Oreochromis niloticus: one gene and its partners. Each later gene encodes a partner of the first gene's protein in a complex. Links are inferred from orthologs where the notes say so. Each region holds a gene or a part of one and is shown in the gene's direction. Other genes may lie near its edges. The genes, in order: wdr5, kat14, KAT8 regulatory NSL complex subunit 1 and sgf29.

Evidence for each region.
Region 2: wdr5 (region 1) and kat14 share a complex: the UniProt entries of both Homo sapiens proteins name them as parts of the ADA2A-containing complex. The link is inferred for Oreochromis niloticus from reciprocal best matches to the Homo sapiens genes WDR5 and KAT14.
Region 3: wdr5 (region 1) and KAT8 regulatory NSL complex subunit 1 share a complex: the UniProt entries of both Homo sapiens proteins name them as parts of the NSL complex. The link is inferred for Oreochromis niloticus from reciprocal best matches to the Homo sapiens genes WDR5 and KANSL1.
Region 4: wdr5 (region 1) and sgf29 share a complex: the UniProt entries of both Homo sapiens proteins name them as parts of the ADA2A-containing complex. The link is inferred for Oreochromis niloticus from reciprocal best matches to the Homo sapiens genes WDR5 and SGF29.

The regions. Positions count from the first base shown.
Region 1 is NC_031972.2:29,230,998-29,238,730, reverse strand, and holds the start of wdr5 (WD repeat-containing protein 5), read left to right. Parts: upstream 1-4,493; 5' UTR 4,494-4,682; intron 4,683-6,267; 5' UTR 6,268-6,299; coding exon 6,300-6,377; intron 6,378-6,558; coding exon 6,559-6,667; intron 6,668-6,822; coding exon 6,823-6,896; intron 6,897-7,123; coding exon 7,124-7,213; intron 7,214-7,733. Other genes in the region: bromodomain-containing protein 3, read right to left, coding at 624-818.
Region 2 is NC_031971.2:41,838,454-41,846,258, forward strand, and holds the start of kat14 (cysteine-rich protein 2-binding protein), read left to right. Parts: upstream 1-4,513; 5' UTR 4,514-4,547; coding exon 4,548-4,806; intron 4,807-5,674; coding exon 5,675-5,796; intron 5,797-5,877; coding exon 5,878-5,999; intron 6,000-6,082; coding exon 6,083-6,255; intron 6,256-6,332; coding exon 6,333-6,767; intron 6,768-6,851; coding exon 6,852-7,441; intron 7,442-7,547; coding exon 7,548-7,681; intron 7,682-7,787; coding exon 7,788-7,805. Other genes in the region: protein PET117 homolog, mitochondrial, read left to right, coding at 3,265-3,360, 4,263-4,412. UniProt on the Homo sapiens protein: Component of the ATAC complex, a complex with histone acetyltransferase activity on histones H3 and H4. May function as a scaffold for the ATAC complex to promote ATAC complex stability. Has also weak histone acetyltransferase activity toward histone H4.
Region 3 is NC_031973.2:4,610,669-4,618,966, forward strand, and holds the start of KAT8 regulatory NSL complex subunit 1, read left to right. Parts: upstream 1-5,269; 5' UTR 5,270-5,340; intron 5,341-7,044; 5' UTR 7,045-7,124; intron 7,125-8,298. UniProt on the Homo sapiens protein: Non-catalytic component of the NSL histone acetyltransferase complex, a multiprotein complex that mediates histone H4 acetylation at 'Lys-5'- and 'Lys-8' (H4K5ac and H4K8ac) at transcription start sites and promotes transcription initiation.
Region 4 is NC_031969.2:33,667,516-33,675,393, reverse strand, and holds the start of sgf29 (SAGA-associated factor 29), read left to right. Parts: upstream 1-4,597; 5' UTR 4,598-4,741; intron 4,742-5,173; 5' UTR 5,174-5,181; coding exon 5,182-5,247; intron 5,248-5,329; coding exon 5,330-5,405; intron 5,406-5,480; coding exon 5,481-5,553; intron 5,554-5,972; coding exon 5,973-6,037; intron 6,038-6,113; coding exon 6,114-6,243; intron 6,244-6,597; coding exon 6,598-6,744; intron 6,745-6,829; coding exon 6,830-6,865; intron 6,866-7,459; coding exon 7,460-7,622; coding exon of another isoform or gene 7,623-7,661; exon of another isoform or gene 7,662-7,679; intron 7,680-7,767; exon of another isoform or gene 7,768-7,878. UniProt on the Homo sapiens protein: Chromatin reader component of some histone acetyltransferase (HAT) SAGA-type complexes like the TFTC-HAT, ATAC or STAGA complexes.

The DNA.
Region 1 (7,733 bases):
TCAAGGACATGTCGGCAGGTTTGAGTCATTTCTTACTGAAGTATGGCTAAAACTAGGATAAGATGCAAGACAGAGTTACACTGCATTCCATTATCTCTATACTCACTGTGGTATGTGGGTTGTGCGTGAGAATTAGGAACAAAAATAAAAGGGAGGAAAAACAAAAAAATATCTTAGACAACATTAATATTAACAGTGAGAGAATAACAAAACGAAAAGAAGATCTAGTAGTTTCAGAAAAGAAGAACAGACAGAGCCAGCAGCACAAAGCAAGTTAGCGTATCTGAAAACTACAAAAAATATATCTATATATACCTAGGGGAAAAAACTGCTGGCAGCTACCAGTAAATGTATATTTAACAACAATGGCTAAATAGATCATATAACAGTATGATCATGCCCAGTTAACATCACTTTTGCATAAAGAACGGGGACATTGTGGAATTAAAAAATAAAAAATATTTTCATTATGAGCAAAACTATGACTTACTTGTGCAACTAACTGAAGAAAAGCCCTGCAATCCTGAGGCTGAAGTCATTTTTGTACCATGACTTGTGAAAAACCCATAAAAATGACTTGATGCACTGTAACCCTGTCAGCTGAACATGTGCAAACTACTCACTGGCAGTCCAAGAGCAACTGCATCGACAGGCTGGTAAAAAGGCCAGGCGAACTGGTGCCGCCACAGGGATTTGATCACTATGTTCTGCATATACTGCAGCTGGTTGGTCCTCCGGCCTGGCTTGTTGGGATTGGTCACCTCGGGAGGTGGGGGATTAACAAGCTGAGGAGGGTCCTGGTTGGTGTCTGCGGACATGGTGGCTGCACGAATTCTTCTGGGTTCTGTTATCTTCTGTAAGTCATGTAGTGTTCACCTGACAGCTTGTCACACACTGTGAAAACTATGCATGACGCAGGCTGGGGAATCGTCAAACCACACAATGTGGCCTGCTGACATAAAAGAATAGACTGTTATGATCATGTGGTTCTCCAAATATCAAATATAAAACTCTAAAAAGAGGAAGCGACTGATTACTTCACACCATTGATATAGTTTCAAAAACAGACTATATCTCATATCTTTTGAAGCTTATCACATTCATTTTATTATTATGTAAAACAATCTGATTAGTAATTAATGCACATGACTGTATAAAGGCTCTTTTCCTTGCATGCTGAAAGGAGGCAGTTGAGGCATTTCAGGCATCTAGTTAGAAAGGCTCCTGGGCATACCTAACTGGGAGGAGACCCTGGGGTAGACCCAGAACCTGCTGGAGAGATTATACATCTCATCTGACCTGGGAATGCCTTGGGACCCCCATGGGGAACTGGAAAGAGTGGCTGGGGAGAAGGATGTCTGAATACTGCAACCCGGCTTCAGATAAGCAGAAGACACGGAGGGTGTATAAAGGTTTAGTGGGCATGTGAACTGAGCAATGTTTTCTTGGCAAATACACTGACAAAATTTAAGAGGCTGTTTCACTGATGGTGTTGGAATCAGCTATGTTTATTTAGCTGTCTAGCAATCTGCCTGCAATTATTCTAATTTTAATATTTAGAGAAGGTGGAGAGATGGAGGTATGCATCGGATAGAAGAGGAATCAAAGTTAGTACAAGGATGCATGTGACAGTGAGGGTCAACCATTAAAAGCAAAGGACAGTGCACGAGAGAGGTGAAGAAGAAAGTGAAGATGGGGGAAGTGAGTGGAGACGAGTGTCACGGGTGATTTGTGACAGGAGGATAGCAGCAAAAGTGAAAGCGAAGGTTTAGAGGATGGGAGTGAGACGGGATATGAAGTATGGTTTGGAGCACTAACAAAAAGGCGGGAGGTCGAGCTGGAGGCGTTAAAGGTGAAGATCTAAGATTGTCATTAGGACTGACTAGAATGGACAAGATTAAAAATGAGTACATGAAAGGGTCAGCTTAGACTGAGGTTGCTACAAAGGATGATAAAGATGGAGCTGCTAGGTATGAAGAAAAGAGAAAGACAAAGGAAGAGATTCTTAGATGTAGTGAAGGAGAACATGGAGAGTGTTAGTGTGACAGAGGAGGGTGCTACGGATAGGGTGAAATGAAGGGAGATGACCCATTGTGGGGCCCCCTAAAGGGAGCAGCAGAAAGGAGCAGGTGATTTCGATTTTTTCTTATTTCAATTTTATTTGCAGTTCTAATGCATTTCAATTAATTTTGAGAGAGGCTTTGTTCATTTCAGTTTAGTTTTTAAATAGCTTACAAAACTTTATTTTTCAAATATTATTATATTTTGTTGGCCTAAGTTAACACATTATATTTCAAGACATATTATTGTGAACGCATCCTTTTCTCAATAAATAAAACCAAACTGGGGAAGACTAAATACATTTCATGTATTTAACTTCAAGTTTTAGTGAGGTGATATTACTTTTTATCCATTTTAACATTTAAATCTATTTTTCCTTTATTCCAGATCAAATGTTTCTTTAAATCTAATTTTATTTCGTTTGCTCATTTTACTAAACATCGCCACTGGAGAAGGCAGTAAGAGTTTGCATGATCTCAGACGCGGTATAAATCTCAACCCTAGCTCATGTAATATCATACCATTAAATACAAGTCAACTAATATAATGCTAACTTAACGGAGTAAGAAGGAAGAATTGGATTGTCAAGTTTTAAATGAGCACGACAGAGTTAAATAATCAGGAGGCCAGCTCTTGGGAAACCTAACCAGTCACGTTCAGCACGTTAGCTTCACTTGGCTAGCAGGTTAAGGTAAACCTATATGGGCGCATGGCCAATATAAGTCTTCACTGCAAATGAGCAATAAAAAACCCACCACAGTATCTTGTGCAGTGCCTACTGGGGTTTGTTTATTACAGTTGGGCCTTGCTCTGCCGCGGTTAACTTACCACTTACAAAGTTTTTATAGGGACGCCAGTCGCTGTTACCTGAACGCTCGCAATTACCTTCAGATAACGGCAACACATACATGTACCACATAACTTGTTTCGCAGAGGATGACGGGAGAGTCACGAGTGTTTACCAACACGTTTTTTCTTCTTATGAAGGTACTTTGAAATGATAGTTTCTATTTAAGACCGTTCACACCGCACCGAAGGCCAAACAGAGTAAAAAGTCGAGATACGGTAACTCCTGGCTGCGCTTAGACCAGCTGAAAACTTCCACACAAACCTGCTGCGGGCATGGCTTCAAGTAACAAGCTCCCCTTCGTCGAAGGCTTCTGTGACCAATTTTTTAGCCAAAGTTAACAGCGTATACCGCCGCCTGCTGTGTCGGAGGGTGTCGAGAATAAACCCAAAATGACCGAAAGTGTAATGATCCCAAGAGAGAAGAGCATTGATTTTCTTCTTCTTCTTCTTCTTCTTCCGGCTGCTCCCTTTAGGTGTCGCCACAGTGGATCATCAGCCTCCACCTAACCCTGCGTCTAGCTTCCTCCTCTGCCACACCAACCCTGCATGTCCTCCTTCACTACATCCATTAGCCTCTTCTGAGGTCTTCGTCTTTTCCTCCAGCTTGGCAACTCCATCTCCAACATCCTTTGTCCAGTATATCCACTACCCCTTCTCTACACACTGTTCAACTGTCTTCAAGCTGATCAACCTTGCTCTCAGGTACTCATTTCTAATCTTGTTCATTCTGGTAATTCACAATGAAAATCTCAGCATCTTCACATCTGCCATATCCGGCTCAACCTCCTGTCTTCTTATGAGCGCCGCCATCTCCAAACCATACATCATAGCAGGTCTCATTATGATCTTCTAAACCTTCCCTTTGACTTGTGCTGCTATCCTGATCCCACCATTGCCTGCACACTCCTCTTCACTTGTGCACTGATTTAAACTACCATTTAAACTCATCCACCTTCACTACCTTTATTCTTTGGATTTTCAATGTTACATGTGTTTCCTTCTCATTCACACATATTTAATATGTCTTGCTTCAAACGGACTTAAATGCTCATACAAATTTCCCACGTGTGGGACTAATAAAGGTTATCTTATCTTATCTTATCTTATACCTACACCTTTCCGGACTCTTTTCCACCTGCTCTATACTCTCTCTACAGCATAGTCCACAGAGATTCCCGCCTGATCTCATCAGTCAACCTGTCCATTACCACTGCAAATAAGAAGTGGTTTTGGAGCCAATCCCTGATATAATCCCACCCCTCCTTCAAATCCATCTGTCACTCCTATTGCACACCACACCACTGTCTTGTTGTCCTCCTAGATGTCCTCCACCACCTTAACATATTTCTTTGCCACATTTCATCTCTTGTACCCAATCATATGCCCCATATTCTCTAGAAACAATGGAACTCCTCCTGACCTTCTCTAAACGTCTTTATCAACAGTTGTTTAATACTGTTTTATAAAAATGGAAGATATAATAATGAATGACATGCAAAACTCTCTGTTTAATGGATTGTGGCAGTATGCGCGTAAACACGTTGGTTTGCGTCCCGTCGTGAAAACCAAAGAAGAAGAAGAGCGTAACACGCATGCGCAAAGCCACAGCACACCACATTCCCCGCTTCTCTTTCCCTACAGGCAATCATCCAAGAGCAAGTCACTTGCTGTATACGTTCTCCATGATCGTCTGAATACACATACATGGTGTTTTTTTACCCTTTCGTGTGTTTACGAGGAGTAACAATCTGACCGTGAAGCTCCATTAATCTGTGAGTATCGTCTTTATGACTGAATCCTCATTGTGTGAATGGAGGGCCCCTCCATGGCACCTCAGCCAGTTTGTCAACAGCACCAGTGCATTTCGAGCAGCGGCGGCTGCATCATCAAATACCCTTTAGCGTTTATATAAAACCACCAGTTTTAACGTGGCGTTATGATTGACGGTTAAACATCTGAATAGTGATATAACAGCGTAGCTAGCTGTCGTTCAAATACGATCATAGTCAAGAGTTGAATTTTTCCAGCCAAGGGAGTCCGTATCGCCCTTTGTTTGATATTCTCTTTTCTCGCACGTTTGTTCCATTTAAACGCGAATTCATGTTAATATATTGCAAACAGATGCCATCTAGTCTTAGCTGAATGCATATGCGTTTCTGTTTGGTGGTTTTAAGTAGCCACAACGAAGTAATGCAACGCTAGCTAGCTTAAGCTAGCTTAAATGGCTAAACTTGGAGCTAAATGAGAAAGCAGCAACACGAACAAGAAAAAATAGCTGCAGCCGGTACCAACTGGGTTAAATGCGGCGTTTAGCAAAAACTGCAGCTCATATGAGGGACATAAAACTAAAAGGAAACATCGTGAGCTAAACTGCTGTTAATGTAAAGTTAATGTACCAAGGTGGTTTCGTATATACTTTGTGCATTTTTGGCGTTATGCAATATATATCATTGTTGTCATGTGAGATGGAGAAAGAGGTTTGCCCTTTCATTGGATTTTAATACCACTATCAGACTAAATGTCGACTATATTCAGTCTAAAATTCGTTTCAACTTGACTGTCAAGGAATGTTGCAGTTAATGCAGGGATATATATATATCTATATCTATATATATATATGTGTGTATGTATGTATGTATGTATTTATAGGTCTACATTGACTAACTTTAATATCAGGATTTTAGAGACTAGAAAAAAATTGCATAGTCATCGTGTAAATAAATAAATAAACACAAACTAGAAAATTTCTGAAGAAATTTTGAGTGTGCCAGTGTATCTGCTGCTTGAAAACCTATCAGAAACTAAGAATAGCTTTTTCGAAGATGTAAGATTTATTGGGTGCATAAAATAGTTGATTTGAAAAAAGTTCAATGAAAAAACAGCTAGAAACATGTGTTGAATGGTCATTTTAATAGCGAACGAATTGTATTGTATAATGTGTCTTATTTTATTTTAGGCATAAACATTGACAGGCATTTACACAGTAGTAGTTATAAATCAAGTTAATGACGCAGTAGTGAAGTTTATAAATACAATCTTTTCTTTTATCACTTCAAAAAGTGGCTTTAGTATTTTTGAGTTTTTGTTTTGAAAGGGAAGTTTAATTTGGCTAAACTTATTTTAAACTAGTTGTTTGTCAGTCACCAAGTGTCTGAGCGTGAAAGAGACAGTTTGAAAAATGTAATCATATTATCCAGGCTGTCAGTGATATTGTTCATGCAAACCTCTTGAAAGGTTACTGAGGCTCGCTGTTATATGTGTTCATTGGTATTTATAACTGATATACTGATCATCACCAGTGGCATAAAGAATGTCTTCTTGTATTTATTTCAATATTTATTTTTTCCTCTGCTTTAGGATAGTACACAGTAAATGCTAATTTCCTCACCATGGCAACTGAAGACAAGAAACCAGAGACTGACACAAAACCTCCAGTAGCGCCGTCAGCATCTGCCAGCCAAAGCAAGGTTTGAATTTTTGGAGTATCACTATTCTGTTCCAGCTGTAGCCTTTTAGGGCCAAGAAATAGCCATAGTTGGGATTCATAAGAGAATGTATTTTGTTTAATATAGACTTAGATGAATGTTAGTGTATTTGTCACATCTCAGCCAAGAGTTGTTAAATGTCGTATTTCTTTTTCACTTACAGTCGGCACCTGCAAAGCCAAACTACAGCCTGAAGTTCACATTAGCGGGCCACACCAAAGCTGTGTCCTCTGTCAAATTCAGTCCGAGTGGAGAATGGCTCGCCAGCTCATGTGAGTAAAAATCACTGCTGGAAATACCAATTTTTTTTCACAACTTAATAATTATCAATAAATTATTGCAGCTTCTTGTTGAGTTTTAAGATTGATGATGTGTTTTGTTTTGTTTTTTTACCTATGCTGAGTGCGTATTCATTCTGTCTCTACAGCTGCTGATAAACTGATCAAAATCTGGGGCGCGTATGACGGCAAGTTTGAGAAAACCATATCTGGACACAAACTTGTGAGTTTGACTAATTCTCAGCTATACTCCTGCCGTGTTAATGGTTTTGTTTTTTATTGGCTGGACTTACGTAGAGCAACTGTAGCATCCTTGATGTTTAGTCAATTGGGATCAGATGTTTGGAGTCGTTACTAAGAGCCAAGCCATGGTTCCATTAGTTCTTACATTGGCCCCATGCTAGCTGTTCTCAGAGCTTCAAGTCCTGATCAGTTCCCATGAATCTGCAGGGTATATCTGATGTGGCCTGGTCCTCTGACTCCAACCTCCTGGTATCTGCATCAGATGACAAAACCCTGAAGATTTGGGACGTTAGCTCGGTAAGATGGGAGATTATTTAAATGATTCTGCTGAAATGTGTGATATAATACTGAACTCTGTTTGCTGCGCATACATTTTAGCAAGCTGCACAGGTATATTACCATCATAGAATATTTGACCAACAGTTTTGGTTATTTTTATTTTAGTTATCCAGGAGTAGGGAGTCTAGTGATGTTATCTGGCATGGGATCTTCTTTCTAGAAGAATTATAAAGATAAATAAGAAAAAGCATGATTGGCTGTGGCACATTTATGAGCATGATTTTGGATGAGTGATTGGCAGGTATCAGCGTGGCGATTGAAGAGTAGTGGCACTAACTACAACTATTAGGTTAGTTCATGTAAGTAATTGATTGTCATTTTTTTATATAAATGAAATGTGCACAGCACAAAAGAGTTGGAACATCTAAAAAACATTATTAAGGAAAAATATACAGTCCTATGAAAAACTCTTGAGCCATCCCATATTTGGAGCGAGACTTTCTTGTAATTTTTAAAAAGGTCTTGTGTTTTTAGGCTT
Region 2 (7,805 bases), on another chromosome or scaffold:
GAGGGGGAGAGAGAGGGAAAAAGAGAAGAGAAGGAGGGCTAGGAGTGGAGAGATTCTGATCAGCACCTTGCCGATCCTGCAGGTCGTGACACCAGGACTATCACTGTCCGGGCCAATCAGAAACCATGGCTCACAGGTCAGGTTTAAATGCTCCTAAGGTTGAAAAATGCAAGCCTTCAGAGCCGGGAATTAGGTGAGCCTAAGAACAGCAAGGGCAAACCTGTCACGTGGCATCAGCTACAGCAAAGCTTCAGCAACAGTAGAGATACTTGGAGGCAGTGGCAAGGAATACAAACCATCACAGACTACAAGCCCACTCTGCAGACCGTGGGGAACAAATCCCCAGACAGTGTGTGGAGATCCCTTGCCAAAATCAGTACACGCAAAGCTCCAGGTCCTGATAACATCCTTGGATGAGCACTGACGGACTATGCTGTGGAACTCACAAATGTTTTCACAGACATCTTTAACACATCACTAGGGTCAGGCCGCCGTTCCCACATGCCTCAAAGCCTCCACCATCATTACTGTGCCCAAGAAGTCATCTACCTCCTGCTTTAAGGACTACCGTCCTGTCAAACTCACCTCCATCATTATGAAGTGCTTTGAATGGTTAGTCATGCATCAAATCAAATTATTGCTTTCCCCCAACCTGGATCCATTTGAGTTCGCATACCGGTCAAAACGCTCAACCGATGACGGAATTTCAACTGCCCCTTACTCAGCCCTCACACATCTGAACACTAGAGACTCGTATGTCAGAGTGCTGTTCATAGACTTCAGTTCAGCCTTCAGCATCATCATTCCCCAGCAACTCATTCACAAACCGGATCTGCTGGGGATCAGCACCTTGCTGTATAACTGGCTGCCAGATTTCTTGACAGGAAGACAGCAGATAGTACGCTCGACAGCAACACCTCCAGCCCAAGAACACTGAATACGGGGGCTCCCCAAGGATGTGTGTTGAGCCCCCTTCTCTTCACTCTGCTGACCCACGATGAGATCTACTACAGGGGTGAAGTTAACCATCTGGCAGAGTGGTACAGCAACAACAACCTGTCCCTGAATGTGGAGAAGACCAACAGCGACTCTACTTCCTCTGCAAACTGAGAAGCACAAGAGATTCAACCCCCATTATGAGCACCTTCTACAGAGGCACAGTTGAGAGTATCCTCACCAGCTGCATCACTGTGTGGTATGACTCCTGCACTGGGTTCTGCAGGAAAAAATAACAACGGGTAGTGAGACCAGCTGCACCTGCCTCATCTGGAAGGTCCTCTCCATTACAGGTGACTCCACTCATCCCTTCAGCAGCGTCTTCAGTTTACTCACGAAGGATACTGAAGAGCCTCCGGGCCAGAACACACAGGCTGAGAGACAGCTTCGTCCATCGGGCTGTCAGGATGCTGACCATCTCTGAATCGAGAAGGGGGGCCCAAGGGTACATCTTTCGCCATCCTACAATGCTGTGATTGTAGCCATTCCCCACTTTCTGTGAATGGTACTCATGGCCATTGATCAGTAGGCTTTGATTAGTTGTCATTGATCAATGGTCATAAGAATTTGCATACTAACAATCATGGAACTAACCCCCCAGCACATTGTTCATGTTTACCTTTTCATTAATATCTTTAAAACAGAAGCAGCACAAATGACAATTTTAGCAGCACAAACCAGCACAAACGTTTGATACCACTTTTGTTGGATTCCATTAATGTGGGGGGGCTGGTTGTACTTTGATGACCTGTAGAAATTTTTATTAATATCTTTAAAATGATAGCAGCACAAACGAAAATGTTTGCAGCACAAACGTAGCACAAACGTTTGGTACCACTTTTGTTGGATTTGAAGAAGGTGGGGGGGCCAACTTCACTCACATACCTAAACGTAAATGTGAAGTTTAGATTTTACTCCATCTCCTCCTCTCCTAGCCTCCACCTCCAAACCTTCAGTTTCACTCCTGCTGCTCTCCTGTCATACTCGTCTCCACCCGCTCCATCCTGCCTCACCTCTCTGTCGATGACGTCTTCTACAGCTGAGGGGTAAAAACTATAATACCTGTGGTGAGCATGCTCAGAGCTGACTGGCCCGACTGATCGGCCAATCAGGCGTGAGAAGATCTGAGCTGAATTCAGTTGTTTCACAGGTGGAGGTGTGAGTGGACATTAATCAACAGCCGATGGTTGGTGCTCCACCTCAGAGGTGGAATAAACTGCCATTTCCACTCCAAAGACTCACATAATGACAGTCGAGTCAATGATTCTCAGGACCGTCTCAAAGGTCACTACCTCACTAAGTGTCACGTACCTGGGACTCACTCTGAGCTGGATGCAAGGCAGGAGGAGGACGTGGCGATGTTAGCTAAAGGTGGCCTCAGGTGTGACAGCTCAGGTTCTAAGTGCCCGGCATGGTCATGTTACCACTTTCACAGCTTTTGACTCAGGCACGGCGGAGGAGGAGGAGCTGTTCAAAGAGCATGCTCCCTCCATGTTTGCATGTTCCAGCTGTGACCACGCCCCTTTTATACAGTTTATATGTAGTTCAGGACCGCAGCTTTAGCAGGCTCAGCTCCGTGATCACGGTTCCCTCACAGCGCTGCAGTTCACGCCCACGACATCCGGCCTCACACCGTTAAGGAGAAAGAGTGTGAGGTCGTTCCACTTCTCTTCTCTTTTCCTAAGTCCTCAGCAGGAAGTGAGGAAAGGAGACAGGAGATACTTCACAACACACTAACACACCCTGCGAGTGTGATGCAGGGAGGACAGGTGAGGTCCTGGTTTTCACCTTAACCTCCTAAGACCCGAACTCTTCCACGACATGCATTTTTAATTTCTCTTTGATATTTGGGCATATTGGGGCCCAATGAATGTAAAAACAAAGAATTTCCAGATTTTTTTTTTTACCTTATTTTTGTTTTTAAGAAAAATGAGAGCCACAAATGAGGATATTCATTTAAAATTTTGATAGAACAGTAGCAGTATAATGTCCTTGTAAGTGGATATCAGGCCCATGTAGAGCAAAATTGAGTATTTTGGTCAAAATAACCAAAAATGTGATGTCCACATATGTGGACGGCAGGTCCTAGGAGGTTAAGAAGAAACAAACGAACATTTTTGGCCTTTTTGGCCTTTGATTCTTTGACGCGAGTCTGCGTGTGTGTCACACTCCGGCCGGTGGGGGCGGTGCAGCTCCGATGAGCGTAGAAGAAGAAGAAGAAGACCTTAGCCGCCGCTAGCCACTGTTAGCCGGAGCTGAGACAGCGTGATGTCCGCGGTCTCTAAGGTGGTCCTGGGAGTGTCCGTGGTTCTGACCGTGAGCACCGTGGCCGCGGTGCACCTCAAACAGGCCTGGGACAGAGAGGTAAGCCGAGCCGGGCTGACATCTAGCCTCCGTGTGCCGGAGCGGGTCACGGGGGCTAACGAGGCTAACGCTAAAGCACAGGTGGTGGTTAAACGCAATTGAACGGACACAGGTGACGTCACACAGACGTTAAAAGAATAATAATAAATAAACACGATAATGACGATAAACAGCAGCCAAAAACCGCTTCCTCCAACACTTTTCAAAATAAAAGACTCAGATGGCTGGTAAACAATGATAATCATCGTCATTCCTTACATTTATGGCTCAGTTAGCTAATCAGGCGTTATCTGAGTTAACGTTAGCTCAGGTGAGTGCAGAACATGTGACTGACAGAGCTGCAGTGGCGTCAGATGTTTCATTTCGGATTCTGTGACGCTTACAGGTCTGCCTTTATTTTGGAGGTGCGTTTTCTCTCGGGTGACCTCTGTGAGGTCACGAGTCCTGCTGTTAAATAAAACAAAGAAACAGAAAATCACACACCTGGGTTTAAGGTGTTCACATCATGGGAACAAAGCTTCGGGCACCTCACCTGTGACATCTGTTTCAGTAATCAGTGATCAATAATAATCACTTTCTCCAGCGCCTTACAAGAAACACAAGAACGCTTTGCAACACAAGTCAAAAAGGTCAAAGGTGTAAGTTTGTGTGGCAGAGGTGAGTTTTCAGTCCAGCTGTGAAGCTCATATGGGAGAGACTCCACACCAAAGCATCGAGCCCTCATAGGTGTGGATTCTGTTACAAGGGACCGAAAGCAGACCTGACTGTGTACAGGTGCTGAGGGGCGGAGCACTGAGGGATTAATGAGTGAGAAGCAGGATCTGTAAGTGAACCAGTGGAGATGAGCTCACATGTCCTCAGAGCTTGATCAATGATGAGTGGTCACTGTGTTTGTCGTGCAGCGCCTGCGTGAGGGCGTGGTCAGGGATCTGGAACGGCTCGAGCGCAGGAAGGAGAACCTGCGGCTGCTGGAGGAGCAGCGGCTGCTGACCCGACAGCTGGCGGAGGAGAGACGAAACCGGGAGGCCAGGCTTCACCCACAGGACACCTGAAAAAGGTAAATGCTCTCATGCACCTACCCTATTGCATCCCCAAGTCTCCTTACGACCAGGTCAACTGTAATGTTTCTTCTCTTGTGTAGACTGCAGTGGTCACCTGCCCAGGTGTGCCGTACCTGAAGCAGGAGGATGGACAGCAGTGGCGAGCAGCTGGTGGGTGGGGAGGACGAGGCGGCCTGCACGTCAGCGTCGGACGGTCTGGAAGAGGGGGAGGTGGAGGGCGAGACGCTGCTGATTGTTGAGTCGGAGGACCAGGGCTCCGTGGACCTGTCACATGACCAGAGTGGCGACTCCCTGACCAGTGACGTGGGTGAGGACGCCGACGGGGGCTGGGCCTGCGAGGACATGTCCTTCTACTGCGACCGCTGCCACAAGTGGATCCCCGCAGGTGAGCTGGCCAATTGCAGCGCTCCGTTTCTGACGTGACCGACCTTCTCCAGTAGGTGGCACTACCTGCTGCCGAGCAATCTGAAAATGTGACATCAGCAGACCGCATGCCACCGATTGGCTGGTCAGGTGCACCAGTCTGTGAGTCATGAGAGCGAGTCTTTCGGGAAAATTGAAACCTGCGGCCCACGAGTCTGACAAAATGCCACGGACCGAGCAGGAGGAATGCCATCGCCTCCTTTGTTCTCGTTCATGTCACACACAAGTGACGTCACAGGATGCTCGGCCACGTTGCTATAACAACCCAACGCAATCAAGTCTGTGGGTTCCCGGCGACACCACAGTTGTAGCTACGCGGTAGGACAATACGCTGAGAGCGAAATGGCGGGAACAAAAGTGATCCAGACGCTCCCACCGCGTGCCGACCGGTCCGTCTCACGTTGCACTCATTAAAGCTGTCACGTGAATCAACAGTCGTACCCGCTGAACTCTAAAGCGAGATCTGCACCTCTGTGCGCGGCAGCTTCCTCCACATGGCCCCACCTTCAGGTACGAGCTCCTCCTTGAGTGTGCGTGAACGCCCTTTAGCCCGGCTCCAGAACACGGCGTGAGCATGCTCTCAGTTAAGTGTCACATGATGCGATGGATGATCACATGATATGAGCCTTAATGTGACCTCTGACCGTGATGTAAGCAGGTATGAGAGTTAAGGTGAGGTCTGATGTGGTGTGGGTGGAGCCAGACAGGAAGCTGTTAGTCCAGCTCCTCGTCTGCAGCTTCATGAGTTGAGAGCAGGCACTGGTGGTAACCTAGGAGACCCCCAGCAGGTCTGCAGCAGCAGCTGACTCTGTACCTGTGATCGTCTGCAGCTCAGCTCCGCGGCGAGCAGCCGAGCTACCTGAAGGGAGACAACTTCTTCAAATTCGTCTGCTCCGATTGCTCCGAAGATGGCAAGGAGAGCTTCGAGAGGATGAGGCTCACCTGGCAGCAGGTAGGACTTTAGCCCCGCCCACACACACAGACACACACCTCAAATACTCGGCGTGCTGACGGCAGCTTCTTCCTGTGGCAGGTGGTGATGTTGGCCATGTACAACCTGTCTCTGGAGGGGACGGGCCGGCAGGGCTACTTCAGGTGGAAAGAGGACATCTGCGCTTTCATTGGTCGACACTGGAACTTCCTGCTGGGCTCGAGGTCGATCGCAGACAGACAATAAAGTTTTGGTCTTTATCGATAACGTGCCGGCGCTCACATTCGTGTTGCACTCTTCTTTGCAGGAAGAAGACATCAACCTGGTGGAGCACGGTAGCGGGCTGCCTGTCGGTCGGAAGCCCCGCCTTCTTCCGCTCTGGAGCGCAGGAGTTCGGTGAGCCCGGCTGGTGGAAGCTGGTCCACAACCGACCTCCAACCCTCCGACCAGAAGTGGACAAATCCGTGACAAAGACTAAAGGTAAGCCGTGATCGAACGCTGGCGCCCAAGTGGACGGTGTTTGTTGACCTCTGACCTTGGACGCTGTTTACCCACAGCGTCCAAACCCGTGCTGGACCCGATCATCACCGTGGAGGGTCTGCGCAAACGCGGGGCGCGGAACCCCGTGGAGAACGCCATGCAGCTGAAGGAGAAACGCTCACGCACTCAGGAGGCCAAAGATATCCGGCGGGCCCAGAAGGAAGCGGCGGGCGGATACACGGACCGTAGCGCCGCCTCCACGCCCGTCAAGCTGGGTGGAGGCCGTGGTGTGGGTGGTGGGCAGCGCCCAGATCTGGTCCTGGAGAAGGGTGAGGTCATTGACTTCTCTTCGCTCAGCTCCTCAGACAGAACGCCGCTCACCAGCCCGACGCCATCGCCTTCACCTGACTTTTCTGCCCCGGGAACGCCAGCCTCGCATTCGGCGACGCCCAGCCTGCTGTCGGAGGCAGACCTTATCCCTGACGCCATGCCGCCACAGGCATTGTTCCACGGTGAGGTACCACCTGATTGGTGCAGGGTCATGTGGTTTTATGTGATGTAACCGCTGATGGCGCGTTCTGCTTCCTCCAACTCAGATGATGAGGAGATGGAAACAGAGGGGATGATCGACCCGGGAACCGAGTACATCCCGCCTGCCAGTGCCAACCTGGGCACCCGCAAGAAACTCCGCCCGCCACCGCCTCACATCAAGCGTGAAGCAGAGAGCGAGGAAGACGAAGGCCGCGAGCGGGAGGGCGACTTTGAAGAACCCGTAGGACAAAGTGAAGACGCCCCGGTGTCCACAGGCGGCGGTGGCGGAGGACCTGAGCGCAGAAGGACGACTCATCCAGAGAACACTGACAGCGCTGCCGGCAACGCCCAGAGTCCTCGCTATGCCACCCTCAGTCTGTACGAGGAGAGGATGCTGCTGCGACGGCTGGACGCTTGCCCGCTCGCGTTGGCCGTCACGCCGCAGGCTAAACGCCTCCACAGGAAGTTGCTGGTTCGCCAGGCAAAACGACAGAGGAGGCTCCCCCTGCTGGACATCGACCAAGTGGTCAGCGCCACCCTCAGCCTGGTGGGAGGAATCTATGGCGCCCAGGAGGCCGGATCACAGATCGGCGGCGGTGTGAAAGGGAAATACTGTACCAGCAGCCAGGAGCTGCGGATTCTCGATCGCTTCCAGGTAACGCACACACTTCCTGTCCGTCCATGTGACACGCCCACGTGCACCAATCGCTGCAGCTGATGCAGTGTTCACACTGTTCGCTTCACCTGTCCATGTTTTACAGACCGGCGTCTCCGGCAGACGAGGCGTCCAGCAGCCGTCCGTGTCTTTCTGGCATCGTCTGATGGGAGCTGAAGGAAGCCTGGAGCAGACCATCAGGAGCCCCTACACCTCCCGCCTCCTCAAACCGTACATCAGGTAAACCTCCGAGCCCGAGCCACACCTGTGGTCGGAGAGTCCTCGGAGCTTCCTGCGAGGTGGAGGTCCACACCTGCGTTCTCCATTTTCCTTTTCTTTTGTCTAGGCGGGACTACGAGAGCCG
Region 3 (8,298 bases), on another chromosome or scaffold:
CATATTAATTGTGTTGCATTGCCAAGTACAGTCTCAGCATTTTTTCCTAGTCTTTCGTGACTTTTTTAGGAATGGATGTGTTATCAGTATTGAGATGAGCATTTGCATAATGTTCATCTTTGCACGGATGGAGCGGTCTGCTGTCTCATACCTAAATTACCTTCAGACTGAATCCACAGACACTGAGAAAACTAAAAATATCATTGAGAATAAGAACAAGAAAAACTTTCATATCTTCCCCCAAAGGGAAACGTCTCTGTTACTGCTTGAAAAATTGTGGAAACTGTTCTAAAATTAAATTAAAAAGAATCTAATTACAATTTACAAATTAAAATTCAGCAGAAAAAAGAGTACGACTGCTGAAATTGGACTTTCTGTGAGGAGTCTTTGACTGCTCCTCTGGGTGTGAGATGGATTTTGGTGCAGCATTTTTCAGTTCATTAGTATTATAGTTGAAAATATCCTTTTAATGAAGAATATGCTGCAGATATTAAACAATTTTGCTCAGCGGTCTGAGAAAAGTGATTATACAGAGTTAAATCTACCTAAAGAGGCGTTTAAAGGAAAAATGTGGGAATTTAATATTTTTTAGCTCAATAAATACTTAGAAACACATTTAAGTAAAGGATTATATCAAGCTGTTTTGTAGCTGAACGCACTTATAATTTTTCCTGTGGTTAACTATAACTGCAAACTGCTGTAAGTAAATGAAGATGCAGTTTTAATGACATAAAAATGTAACAGAACTGAATTTCATCCCCCTATACATGTTTAAGACTCGCCATGCATGCAGTCAGGCATTATATGCTTGGATGCTGATTATAAAAGCAAATTAAAAGTAGCACATTTGTGCATAGTGAATATCTGAGTGACAGTTTTACAGGGCCCAGCTTCAGTCAGGTGATGTGTGTGATGTCTCAGCGCCATCTAGTGTTGTTTCCCTATAACTACATTTACATGTTCCTATGAGGCCAACACATCAGATGAACCACCGATGGTAAAATGAGGTAAAGAAAATGAACTTTCCAGAGGATTAACTGAAATATGCTCCTCAGCCCAGAGCATTATGATAACGGTATCCTGAAGACTAATGGTGTTAATTCTCAGTTAACACTACTTAAGTTGGTGTTAATGCAGATAGACAGACACCCAAACCATTTAAATGTCAAAACAAAAACATTTTGTGACAGCCTCCTATTAGGTTTCCTGTTTCTATCACCAAGTGAAGAAACACTTGATTTCTTCAGCTGTTCTTCCTTTACTGAATTACTGTAACTTGCACTTTATGAAAATGATTTTTTTTTTTTTTTTGGTGGGTGGCTGTGGCTCAGGCCGTAGAGCTCATGGTTTGATTCCTGTATCCCTGTACCAAAGTATCCTTGGATGTAATACTGATACAAGTGAACCCCTGGGTGTGAATGTTAATGAGAAAAGCTTGTGTTAATGGGCGAATGAGGTCAGTTGTATAAATCACTTTGAGAACTTGAGTAGAATAGAAAATTGCTCTACAAGAACCAGCCCACTTACTAATACATTATTTGGAGGAACATATTTTTATTAAACAGGCTTATTTATGTGACCCATTTAAATCAAACTGGACTTTATGCACTTGTTTGTTTTATTACTGGCTAAAGCAGTCTGGTAGACCACCACTGTTCTCTGTATGCAGCCACTAAACGGTCATTCCTGTACGTCTATATGTAAACCTTAGACTGATTTAAAATCAGTACAGCACTCACACATACGAGTTTATTTATTGATCTGATGATAAAGTTTTACTGAAGTTTCTTTATTTGTTTATCTGTTTTAACCCTGTTGAAATGATGTTAACACTGTATTTATCTGATTGTTTAAGTTTATAGTTGTTATAATCTCAGCTGCCCTCTTGTCGGCATATCTTTTGAAAAATCTACTGCACAAATAAAGGATGTGATAAATAATAATAAGTAAAACATGAACTTCTTGTGCCACTGTACATAATCTAAAAGTGCGTATGTGAAGCTGGGTGGAAGGATGAGCTGAAATGAAGGTGGAAAGGTTGCAGAAAAGACAAAGAAAAGGAAGAATTGAGAAAACTGAAAAGGTGAAAAAGATAAAAACAATGATAATGCAGCTGGAAAATGTGAGCATGTCATGTGAATAATAAAGTGTTTTCATAGTGCAGTGAAGTCCACGTAAGGTCCTGTTTAAAATTTGGTGGATGATTTCAAGAAATTTGACTGCCCTGTAATATATCCAGGCTGTCAAACATCCAACACGGGGCTCAGAACAGGCCCTCTTCTTCTTCTTCTTCTTCTTCTTCTCCTTCTTCTTCTTCTTCTTTCAGGTATTTCCTTTAGGAATCACCACAGCAGATCCTCTGCTTACATCCCACCCTATCCCTACCATCGTCCTCTGTGACCTTTCTTCATGTCTTCCTTCACAACATCCATTAACATCCCTTGAGGTCTTCCTCTTCTCCTCCTGCCTGGCAGCTCTATCTTCAACATCCTTTCTCCACTATATCCACTCTCCATCCTCTGCACATGTCCAGCCCTTCTCAGCCTTGGCTCTCTAACGTTGTCTTGAACTGCTCGACCTGAGCTGTCCCTCTGATGTACTCATTACTAATCTTGTCCATCCTGCTCACTCTCGAAGAAAATCTTAACATCAGCTCGGCCTCCAGTCTTTTTGTCAGTGCCACTGTCTCCAAACTATGCATCGCTGCTTGTCTTGCTACCATGTTGTAAACATTCCCTTTCACTCTTGCTCCTTCTGGCACAAATCACCCCTAACACCCATCCTCCACCCAACCCACCCTGCCTGCACTCTCCTCGTCACCTCCCTTGTGCTTTAGATGGTTGACCTCAGGTATTTAAACTTATTCACCATCACTACCTCTGCTTCCAGCAACTGCACTGTTACACCTGTCTCTCACTCATTCACCCAGTGAAGCTCCTTCTGACCTTCTCTATACTTCTCCATCATCACCTTTCTTCTTAACTTAGCTTCATCAACTCTTTCCTGTATCTTCATGGTATGGTTCATCAACTTCCTCCCTCTGCAGGTCCTACAGCTCTGCACATCGCCCTTGTTTTTAAAAATCAGTACCAGTACGCTCATCCTCATTCCTTAAACATCCTGGTTAAAATGTCCACTGCCCTCTCTCCTAGACATCCCCATACCTACAGAAGTATGTCATCTGGACCAGCCACCTTTCCAATCTTCATCCTTTTCATGCCTGCCAAAACTGGACCACTGAATGGCTTTCCACTACTACTTAAGTGTCAAAATTTATGGGAAGTCAAAAGTGTTTCTAGATGTAGACACGTTTTTTGAGTCATAAAGACATCAAGTAGTGTTGTATTCATTCTAAAGTTTAATGTATGTCTCCATGTGATGACAGCAAACTCAGTGAATGCTCAGCTGAAATTGCACCTTTTCATTTGTTACAAGAAAAAAAAATTAACAAGAAAATAATGCCTGGTAATATTATGTCAAATTTTCAAGGGAGAAGGGTAAAGGAGGTCTTGCACTCTGGTCAGGATTCCAGCTTCTTAAATTTGGACAGGTGCACTTTTTTATTAAAGGATTTTCTGGGTCAGGCCCACAGTTTTGGTCTGTAGGGAGTTAATTTTTACCCTCATGCTGTAGATGTATTTGGTTTCAGAATAACAGACGCATCTCATAGATGTGTAGATAAGTGAAGCATGTGTGTCCCTGAAGTTTTGACCACATGACCATCAATGAGCACACAATATTCCAGATATTTCTCTTTTACCAACAACAGTGAGGTCGAGCACTGATGTTGGCTAAGGTCTGCCTCACATTCGGAGCCAGATTATTAATTTACTGGCTTGAATAGAAATTCATATTTAAATTCAGTGCAGTGTAAGAGGCGTAGAAGATAGCCATATATCAATTCAGCAGCTGAGGAATGAAAAGCCTTGGCAATGCGAAAAGCCTCAAATACCTCCTCAAAAGATGCATTTTTCTAAATGTAAATGGTGACATTTGAATTAAAAAAAAAGAGGAGAAAAGGATGCTTACAAAGTTCATACAGTGCAGTGGTTAAACATGTGGCCCAGGGGCCAGAACCAGCTGCCAAATGGTCCCACTGGTCCCACTGTGAATTCATTAACAACTGCAGTTTTTCAGTAAAATGTGGTGATGCTCGCCTGACTACACAGAAATGAAAATGCATGAAAAGGTACGTTTTTCAAGTTGTTTGAACCACAAAACTGTAAAATACTGAAGCAGTATACTTACAAAAACTCCAGATGTGAAGTTTTTTCCAAGGTGATTTGCAAATTGTAACGCACATGTAATTACACTGTACTCACTGAATGCGGAGTAACTTGGATATATTTTTATTTTTGCATTTATTCTTTTAAAAATTGCCTTTTGTGGTTGTTTTTAATAGAGTGGGGTATGGGGACCTGCTTAACTCTTATGGTTTCAGCTTTTTAAAATCTTGCCCAGGTGACTGCGCTCAAAGTCTGCTTCTTCACGCTTAAAGAAAGGGGAAACTTGTCAGTGGTTTTACTGGTCTGGCTCGCTTGAGATCAAACTGGGCTGCATGTGGCTGCTGGGCTAAGATGAGTTTGACACCCCTGCTCTAAATGTTGAAAAGGCTTCACCCTCAGCCAGGCCTCTGCTCCTGAGTCATTTTCACTCCCCCTGCACGTACCTGAGAAAGGTCAGATTTAAGCTTTACTGACACAGCCCCACAGTTTGTCCCTCTGCAATGCTAACCGCTGGATTTTCATGCAGCCAGCACAATGCTGCCTCACTGACTTATATATCCACCCATCCTGTCTCCGTTGCCTGCAAGTAAGCATCAGCAGCTTCAAGTGAATCTCCATTCTTGTGAGGGATTTACCCGCTATTGTGCCTTTCACCGGTGAAATATCACCCCGCCAGCTCTTATCTGCTTAAAAATACGATGCAACAGAATATAGTAAACAAACTCATGCGCTGCCATTAGCTTTATGTTTGCGGTTTTTTATTGTGCAGTGAAAACCAGTGGCTCATTTCTAAGCAGTAGTCCCCAAAAACAAAGCATCAAAATGGGAGACAGTGTAGTTAATTTGAGTGAGAACAGTCGTGTAATGGCGCAGTAAAAGGTGTGCTCCATAAATGACGGGTAAGTTGTGAAACATTTTCAAATAAAAACAATATATTTTGGGATAATGAAGTTTCATGCTATGAACTTTCGTCCACATTTCCGCTGTACGGGCATTTGCAAAGACTGACATCTGCAGGAGCCAATAGAAAGCCTCGAACTGGACTCTCGACCAATAGCAGCGCAGGGGGGGCTGGTATTATGGAGTCGTAAACGGTTAGTAACAGGACAAGCAGGTAAGTAAGATTTTGTCTTGTTATTTTCTTAAAATAAATGAACGCTCCGCTTGGCAGGAAAAAAACACACATTCCGTTAAGCCCCCGGTTGTTTGGCTTGAGCTGGCGGAGTTTTTAAGCGCACTTTTCTGCTAAACGTGCAGCAGTCATTGAGAAGTCAGAGTGGGATCGGGAAGCAAACAAGCTAGCGAGCGTTAGCATCTCTTGCTAGCTCAGCTGGCTGCTATCTGGCAGCCTGGGAGTTCCAAACATTAGCCTGTTAGCTCCGCAACTGGAGAAACTACTGTTTGATTATGGCATAAATCTCCAGTGGCGCATTCCTTCACACAGCGTTCAGTGATGGAGCCGCTTTTTTGTAAACTTACGTTTAAATTTCTACACCGCTGTGCTGACATTAGGCGACATTTAAAACTTTTTCATTATAAAAATTTGCAACGATAACGTTAGTGGATGTTAGCTTTAGCTAGCGTTAGCGTGGCAGCAGGACATTCAGATAAATAAATAAATAATAAATAAAAATAAACAGCTGGGGAGACGCTACTTAAGACCGAGTCCTAGAAAAAAAATAGGGGGGTGGGCGAAGAGGGTATAATTCAGAAAAAAACGCTCAAATTCCGAGATGTAAGTCGCGCATTAACGAGAAAAATAGGAGAAATAGTGTTTATTTTTAGTCAATGAGCGACTTTGCTTCACTTTTGAACATTAAGCTTGAAAAAAAAATCAGAAATTTGAACTCCTTGTAATAAAAGACCAATAACACCTCCTTCCAAGTATGTTGTTAAGGCAGACAACAAGCTACAAACTCATATTCACTACGCTGCAGCGCAGGTCTACGTGCAGCAGGCGATGGGAGGAGTGCACGGACCCTCAACAGTGTACAGCACTGAAAAACGTCATGTATACATACATACGTCCTGCTTCGCTCTCATACAGTGCCAATTTTATATCTATTTGTTTTTTTACTTACACTGCGCCTTGTTTTTCATATAATTCTGGCATTGTTTTCATTTTTCCGTTTTGTTTGTTTGTTACATTTTTTTTTAATTGTCCCAGATTTGCAAATTAATCCTAATTCTCCGTTGCTTTTCTATTAAACTTTCTACAGGTTTTTTTTGTGAATATCCCTTTTTTCCTTCTTTAATTTGCATTTTTTTCCCCTCAGAAATTAGCCACACGTTTGTTGTGTAAATTAGCTGTTCTTTGTGTTAAATTGCCCCAAATTTTAAGGGTTGTTCTGTCCATTTTTTACTGGGCAATTTTCCAAAGTTCCACAGTTTTTTCCCCTGTAAGTTTGCCATTTTTTTCCTCAAAATTTTGCCCCATTTTTTTTCTCGTTAATTTACAACTTTTTTTAGTTAGTGTAATGTGCTGATATCGATTGATTTATGGAATTTTTTTTGCCAGTTCCAATTTTCTTTCTCTATAGCATCAGGATTGGCATTTAGCATAAGAACTGAAGTAAAATAAAAAGTAAAATCTGCCAAATCAACAACATGGCCCAACAAGGGCCTTGTGAATAAGGGAGCAGCTATAACTTGCAACATGTACAAACAAAAAATTCCACAAGAGTTAGAGGCTCGTACATCACCTAACCCTGTATCTTTTCCTACTACGCCGTCATAGTTAAATGTATTGTCTGAAATTTTTAAATACGATTCAAGTGATCTTATTTTTTGTTTGTTTGTTTGTTTTGTTTCATTTTAGGTGTCATGTTTTCATGTGTGGAAACCGGAAAAATGATCCCTTGGATTATTGAATGGAGTTCATCGACAATGGAGTTAAAGGTATAATTGTTATATGCATTTATCTTTATTTTAAAGCCAGGGGGTGCTGCAGCCACCCTATGGCTTTGGAGATAAGATCACATCAGGGATATAAGTAGCCTGGATTTTGAGGACCCGAGTGAAGAGCATCTGATTAGGATACTCTGTGGACATGTCCCTGTGGATGTATTTTGGTCAAGTGGGATGGATTACATATCCCTGGAAGTGTGGGAATCCCTTGAAGTTTGCAGGGATCGCCTAGGAGGAGCACAAGGAAGTTGAGACATCTTTGCATCAGCTGTAACGTGGAGCAGGACCAAATGGATGGATGGGTATTTGCCAGTTATGACAGTCACAGATCGGCCAGTTTGTTTTGTTTTAGTGATGTTTTTAGTTCACGTCCCATGAAGACCTGCGGAGGTCATTTTAGGTTAAGACAAAGCAACAACAAAAGGAAGAAGTAATATTAGGAGGTGAAAATCACACTTTTAAAAGTGGTAAATAAATAGGAAATGGCAATCACATTTCCAAGAAAAAAATGCAGAAATTCTCAGAAATGAAACTAGTGACAGGACCGGTTGACTGAAAAAGTTAGGCTTGTAAAAAGTGTAATATTCTTATAAAAACAACAAACATTTTTTGAAAATGATATTCTTTATTATAAAAGAAAAAAAAATTCAGAAATGATCAGAGATTAAAGCCAATCTAAAATTACAGATTTTCCATCTAAATTTATCACTATAACCATTAAAATTCAGTTATATTTGTTAAAAATGTATTCTCTCTGCAACACTCCATTATTTCCTCCTTAATTTTCTGAACAATCGCTCTCTTCCTCCCTCTGATTTACACAGACACACAGATAATGAAGTGTTTGCAATGCATGTCCTTTCTGGTAGTCTGATCATGCTCAGAGACCAGCAAGACCTGTTAGAATAAGTGAGGTGCATTCATCTTATTACTTAACAAGCATCAGGAGATCAGAGTTACTGAAACAATCTAAAATCACATATTTTTCCATTTTCATTTATTAATGGGTTTAAATGGCAGTGAGACAAGAGAAGATATAATGTAACTTTGTAAACATCTCAGCTCAGTTTCCCAGACATCGATTGGAGCCGTTTCTAGACGAAAACACTTCTCAGTAGAGAACTACGTTGAATTTCTCTTTTAGTGTGGGAAAATGGCTGTCAGT
Region 4 (7,878 bases), on another chromosome or scaffold:
TTTCTACAAATTAATCAAACACTTGTTTTTTCATATTTACAGTCTACAAACCCTCTTTTAGTTTTACTAGGTCTTGGTCTAAAAACAATACACCCTCTTCTCACACACACACTTTTAAATATACTAAGTTTTTGCATTTTTGTCAGTTTTTGTCACATCATTCGCACAATACTTTCATAATCATCTCACACCCACTGCCTTTTCTCTCAAACTTCTCCCTTTTTCACTCACTCAGACAAATCATTCAGAGACATTCAAATCAAATACTGACAGCATTCACACAGTTAAAATCACTCAAAATACGCTTTCATACGAGTATCTTGGACATGCCTTCCATGATCAGAAAGAGCAAGTCAAAAAAAGAAAAAAGAAGACTGAAACCTCTCATCGTCTCACACACAACTTCTCACCACACACACATAACTGAAAAATAAAACACACCAGCCTTTATGGCTCAAAATATATACATCTATCAAAATTCAGTCACTTACTATACATCCACTACAGCAACTCAAAACTTTATTTATAACCCTCTAATAAACATAAATGGTGTCTTAAACACACGCATTCAACAATGTTTGCAGCAGTACTTGTGAAACCAACTGTGGTTTAAGCAGTTCACAGCTTCTTAATTTGCATTTTATTGCCTTCTAGGACATTCTAGTCTCTAATTCCTCTGTTTTCATGTTATCTCCGTTTTACACACACAAACACACACTCCCCCTAAAAACCCACAAAAAACTATCCCTAAAAACACACACAAGAGCCCTTAAGAAACTTCATTCATTTATTTATTATTATTTTAAACCCTTAAGATGTTGTGCTGTGTTTCCTCTGTGCCCGTTGCAACCTATATTAACATAAAGCCAAAATGTAAACAAGTCTGTCAAATCTAACTACTTATATGTTATTGGACTAAAAAACCACTTACAATCTTCTAAAGTCCTCCTTTGCCCAACAAACATCAAACGACTTACACCTATATGTATCACTCAAAGTCAACAATACATTAGGAACACCAAATGTAACTGTGTATATTATCTCAAACTGAAACGAAACCCATCTAAAAATCCTAAAACATCTTACTTGAACACACCAAAAGAGACATCACTTACAGACATATTTATTAATGAAATTATTTCAAAGTCAATTTCAGTTTTCAAACCCCAAATAACGGTCATAAGTATCAACATTTTATGTATCCTATCTCAAAACCCAGCAAACAGTCATACAGTCATGGCAAGAAATAAAAACTTTACTTACAATATTGTAATAAGCGTCTTAAACACAGCCATTCAGCAAGGTGTACGGTCTCTATCTAAACTTCCTAAAACTCTAGGGACCTTCCAGCTGCCTTATTTGCATTTTCACACACACACACAATCTAAAAATAATACCAGTCTGCTGCAGTGCCCGTGGCAGACAGAGCCTATATACAAACATAGAAATTATAACACAGAGACGTCTGATAAATTAATTAATATTTACAAGGCCTTAAATTGCATAACCTACCGAATTTAGACGAAATTTTAACTTAACCCTCCAAGGGACAAACTCCAAGTTTTTTGCGATCAATTAACCAGTATCGGCCCCGGACCGTGGTCACATATCTAATGCCCTAACACAATTTAAAAGCGTCAACCAACTCAACCCCTGCTGAAAAGCTCTATTTAGGGGCATTTCACATCCCAGGCTTCCCCGAAGTTTTAAGTTAAAGTTACACGCCCAAAACCCGGTTTCTATTGACCAAAAAAGTGCAAACCACCGCCCCGGACGGTAAACTGACCTAGTCAGTAGCTATTTTGGGCCGTCCCCAGTTGCCCACGATTGCCAATCGGACTATCCCTTCCCAAGGAAAATCCTGACCGTCGCCAGGAAATTTGGAGCGTCACCTCCGAACAATGCACTTCTCAGAATTCCCAGAATCCCGTACTACAAAAATTTAATTACTTTTGAAGACACCCCATAAAATTACACAAGCAATGTTATTGATGTCCAAGCCCGGCTTTATATTCAATTAAGACTTGACTGTCACAAACTCTTCGCCAATAACCTATAACTCTAAATTCAGTCTGCAGTTCAACTGCTTTAAATACACTTATTCTCTTTACTCTTTACTTATTTTCTCTTATTCTCTTTACTCTTTACTTATTTTCAACGTTTTATTATCATTACTTCAACTTCAATTCTCATGAGATTTTCACCAAAATCACAGCAGACATTTATCAGTAATTTCAGTGAGTAGACTTTTAATTTTGTCATAACCAATCCAGCACTGTTTGGAAATAATTCAACAGGTAGTGCCTTACCTTTGAATAAGCCGGCTTATGTCCACTCACTTCGACCACTGACTCGTGTCTGCCCGTTCGAGCGCCTCGGACCCTCTCGGTCTCAATCTCCAACTCTATGTCCTCAACCCTGGCCAATGCACCAAATGTTACGGGTCCGAAATTGAGGACGAGAGTAAAACAATGATGGTCCAAAAGAGGTCGATCAAACAATTGATTTTTAATGAATACACGCAGCGTGGGGAGACGTACACTGGAAACCATCAGTTGTAAATCCCCACCCAAAAATACACTTCAGATTGCTTTTATAACATCAGGGTATTATGACGCCCCCTCATGCGTTTACAAGCACATAATTTGCATCTTAAGAACATTATTTGCCTCTTCTACAGACAATGATCAATTTTAAGAGATAACTACAGAGACAAGAGTTCCCCTTTCTGGCATCCTTTTCCAAATATGGTGATGAGGTCCCCATGGACTTGTCCTCCTCTTTGGCCCATCTTCTGTCACCTGTTACTAGGCAAACTCAAATGCAACAAAAAGCTGAATACATTCAGGCCTTTGCTCAGCTACTATTTTACTGTAACAATATACTCAGCATATAAGCTTTTATGATTATAGATTTAACTCAACAATTTAAGTTGTTCTAACTGCACCTGTAATAAACATGTTAATATTTGATTATGATAACACCTGTAATACAAATTATAACATAATGCCAGCAACTTCAATAAATGCTTGGATGAAATGATAATTAATGCAATGATAAAGATGATGGTTATGTGAAATAATCCCTGTAATTCCACATTATCTGTCAGGTGTGTGCTGACCTTCTGACTGCTTCAGGGATCAATAAATAAAACCAATAACAGCTGGATTGCAGGTAGAGAGTCGCTGTGTTTATCTGTGGCGCTTTTCCTTTGAGTGTCTCCTGCACGTCGGCGCTCTGACCTCAGAGTGACGGGTCACCTCGCCACAGACGTTAATGATTAACTATCAGGATGTTTACCTGTAGAGTTGTTTCAGTGTCGGATGACACCAGCAGCACACGCCCGACAACAGGCTCCTCCTCCTCTCACCTGAGAGATAACCACCCATTTCTTCTAACAGAAAAACAACAGTCAGCAGGATTTTATTTTGAAAGGGACGCTATCAGACAGCAGGTTTAGAGAAGACCTGAAATCAGATTTCCTGCTTCAGAAGCGGTGACAGACTCTCTGTCCTCAGCCTGGAACAAGTTTATTCCTCTTTCATGGAGCTGATATCAAAGAACCAATCAGAGGCCTTCATCTGCTCGCACACTGAAATCTTAATGAACTGTATTTATGATCGATCAGTGATCGATGTGTGGACCTCACGTGTTCCTCTGAAACATTCACTGCAAGAATAAGAGTTTAATGAAGCTTCAGACCCAGAAATACCGATCAGCGATCAATCACTGCATCTGTCTATCACTGTAATCAATCGCAGTGATGGAGACAAACCCGAGGAAACTAAAAGCGTTGATGCTTTTAATGGAGGCTGCAGAGCGTGAACGTGTGCAGTTATCAAACACATGGATCACACGTCCACCAGAATCTGATCTTTATCTTCAGTTTACGGCTGAATCCTGGACTCCATCTTTATCATGAGACTGGAAACGATGACTTTTCCCCTGTTTGTCGTCCACAATGACTCACATTTCTCAGTCCAGGGGTTAAAATCCAGGCTCTGCTCTTCATTTACTCGTAGCCATGGTGAATCCTGGTATCAAGCTGGTCTGTTTTTTTAAAAAAAAATTCAGGTTTTTAACATGAAGGTGATCTGTGGAAGGTTTACCCCTCCTCTCGGGGGTAAACCATAAATCAAAAAAACATAAATCAAAATACAGGGTCAGGCTAGGAGAGAAGAAACTGGAATTCGTGACATTATAGTTGCAGGTTCACAAAAACACACACACACATTTTCTGTTTTATATTTCTTAAATATTTCTTTCTTGTAAATTTCCATTTTTAAACTCACTCTGTCTCCTTCTTCTTACCCCAGCGTATATCTTGACAAAGGATCACAAATTTCCTCCAAGGAAACACTAGATTACCACAGAGGCAACTGTAAACAGCACAGGTAACGGGAAAGCGACAAAATGTTTGTACACAAAAAAATAACACTATAGAGCTGGAAAAATCTTTAAAAAACCACAAAATAACTGCACACAAATAAATTACAGATAAATAATGAATGGCTACAAAGGGGTATAATAAAGTCATATAAGTACAAGAAAAAGAAATACAATTTTTAAAGCAAAATGTTTACGTTTTTAAGCGCCCCGTGTCTGCAGTACCACACTCCGCCCAGCTGGTGGCAGTGTGTTCACCGAAACTGCTGCACACAAATAGCACCAAAGAAGAAGAACAGAAGGCCAGTACCTGCGGTTCGTGAGTTGAGCGCAAATAATTGAAGAAAGTGGTTCGGTGAGGAGGTTTGGGGGCTGGTTTTGAGGGAAATATGACGCTTATTCCGATCAATGATCTATCTGAGTTGAATATATATCGCTAATGTTTTTCTTTATTTCAATTTTTAGCGTTACGAAGCATCTCCGAGCCGTTTTTGTCTGTAGCGAACTTTACATCAAACTCCGTTCAGAAATCATTTATTTAAGACATACCGTGTTTTCCAGGCCACATCCAGCACACATAGAGCATGACTTCAGTTATATTGCATACGAGTATTAATTCGGAACTTTATCTCCAGTATGTTATGACCGCGGTGATCGAAATGTTCAGACTATTTGTGGTTTGTGAAGTGTTCACCGTCATTTAAACCGCCTTAAAGTAGAAGTTTTTTAAATGAGGTTTTGTGTGTTGTAACTAAGCGCTGCTGTTTGATGCTCCACATCCTCACAGGTTAAATCATGTCCGCTGACCCCAAGATTGCGGAGCTGCTCACTGAGCTCCACCAGCTCATCAAACAGACACAGGTTAGTATTGATCCGCTTCCTTTGTGATTGATCAGGTCAAGCTTTGATCACATCCTAATTACCTGCACTCGGCCTGCTTCAGGAGGAGAGGTCACGCAGTGAACACAACCTGCTCAACATCCAGAAAACACACGAGAGGATGCAGACTGAGAACAAGAGTGAGTGTCAGCAGCTTTGAGCACATGTGCTGAATTTGTCTTGTGGTCCTAAACGTGGACGTGTGTCTCCTGCAGCTTCTCCGTACTACCGCACCAAGCTGAGGGGGCTGTACACCACGGCCAAGGCAGACGCTGAGGCGGAGTGCAGGTGAGAGGCCACTGAGCATGACCTTTAACCCTTAAAGATCATGGTGATGTCACTTATACGCTATACAGGAGACTTCCAGTCTCAAGCTTGTTACTGTTTTGTTTAAATAAAGGTTATAAAAATGAAAAAATAAAGGGGGACAGATGCATGAACACCATGACTGAAGCACAATAAGCAGTAATTTCCTCTGAGTACAGACTGAGACTCTGTGCTGTTGGAGCCTTTTTAATGACATCATGTGACCAGTAATATGGCTGCTGTGAGGTCACTGCACGAACAGGCGATCCAACAATCTGAGCTCCAGTTTCCGTTCATGTCGGGTTTCTAGCCTGTTCGTTTTCACATTTTTACTAAGAGTGTGAGGATGATCAGAGGGTGAAAATCACCTTTTTCTTCTTCTCTTGTGTCTTTTCTGTCAGCATTCTGCGTCACGCCCTCGATAAGATCGCAGAAATCAAGTCTTTGCTGGAGGAGCGGCGGATCGGTGCGTGTCCGGTATTCCGCCTCTCACATCTTCCTATTTCATGTGACACAAAACTCATCTGTCTGTCTGTCTGCAGCTGCAAAGATGGCGGGCGTTTACAGCGACAGTGACCCTCCCAGGAAGACGATGAGGCGCGGTGTCCTCATGACGCTCCTCCAGCAGTCGGCCATGACACTTCCTCTGTGGATCGGCAAGCCAGGGGAGAGGTAGGTGGTACTGCCCCAACGCTGGTGGCCACGATATTAGGCACTAGTGACGTCCCCACAACGCCATGGAAACACCTGATGGTGTTAAAGAGCAACTTTGTGTCCCCGCCCAGGCTTCCTGTGAGGTCACGTCTTTATTTCAGGCTTTTTATGCGTTTCTTTCACCATCACGTTAAACGGTGGCATCTTATCTTTAACAACGAGGACGTCACGTTTACGCTCCGAGTGTCTCTTCTGTTCCCGCCATGAGCAGCGAGCGGCACCGGCTATTGTTGGTAGCTTGTACCCGATGCTCAGGTGTGCTCCGGCTGACTTTCTGATGTGGCGTCCTCTCTGTGACTCCTCCCTCTCCAGCCCTCCTCCTCTGTGCGGGGCGACCCCTGCGAGCAGCGACTACGTGGCCAAACAGGGAGACAAGGTGGCGGCGAGGGTGAAGAGCGTGGAGGGCGACGAGCAGTGGATCCTGGCTGAGGTGGTCAGCTACAACCATTCCACCAACAAGTAAGAACACGTGACCGTTTGTGGCGACGCCTGCGTGGTGTAATGCGATCGTCAGCCTCTGACGCCTCCTCTGCTCCCCCTGCAGGTACGAAGTGGACGACATCGACGAGGAGGGCAAAGAGTGAGTTCTGCTTCGTTATGTTCTCTGACAGGAACAGCGTGAACGGCTTTCACGTTAAAGCTCGGACTGCAGCAAGTTTGTGAGCGAGGCCGGAGAACGACTCCCAGCTTTAGCGAGAAGCGAGCGTTTATAGGATTTTAAATCTGCTCTGGTTCTTTGTCCCTTCTCGGTGTTTTCCTTCTCCTGCTTTTCTTTATTTGCTCTTCTTAAATGTTTTTTTCCACCTTTTCCTCTTCGGCTTTCTTCTTACAGTCGTTCTCGTGCTGCAGATTTTCGTCCCTTCGCCTGTTTTTCGTTGACTTTCACGGTGAAATTTCCTCCATTTTCAGTTTCCATCGTTATTCATATCAGTGTACAGACGTTAAAATCAGAGGCTGGTTTATATGGGACGGTTTAAACCTGATTGCCACGCCTCTGACTCATTAATGAATGCAGTGATTGTGGGCGGGGCTCGTATGTTTCAGACCGCGAAACGTGTGTTGATCTTGTCACAGAGGAGTAAACTGTGCCGGGCTCTGTGGGAGAATCTCAGCAGCTTGTTCTCTGAAAGTGACAAATCTGCTCCTCCTTCTTCTTCTTCTTCTGTGCGAGCAGGCGGCACACGCTGAGCAGACGGCGGATCATCCCTCTGCCGCAGTGGAAAGCCAACCCGGAGACTGACCCTGAGGCGCTGTTCAGTAAGGACCAGCTGGTGCTGGCCCTTTACCCTCAGACCACCTGCTTCTACCGAGCGCTGATCCACACGCCGCCGCACAGGGTGAGGCTCGCCGCGCCGCCGCTTACGGTTTTATTTTGACAGGCGCGTCTGTGACAGGTCAGCCTCGGCTCAGGGAACGCCGATTAATAAAAGTCTTTTCATGTTTTATCCTCTATGAGTTTATTCTGTGTAACTTTTATTCCAGATTCATTATAGCTTCTGCATAGACTGTAGATAAAAGATGCACGTGGCCACTGTGACGTCATCCTCTGGTTTCGAAACACTTTGAAGTCTCGGCATTCGTGTTTTGGTTCCT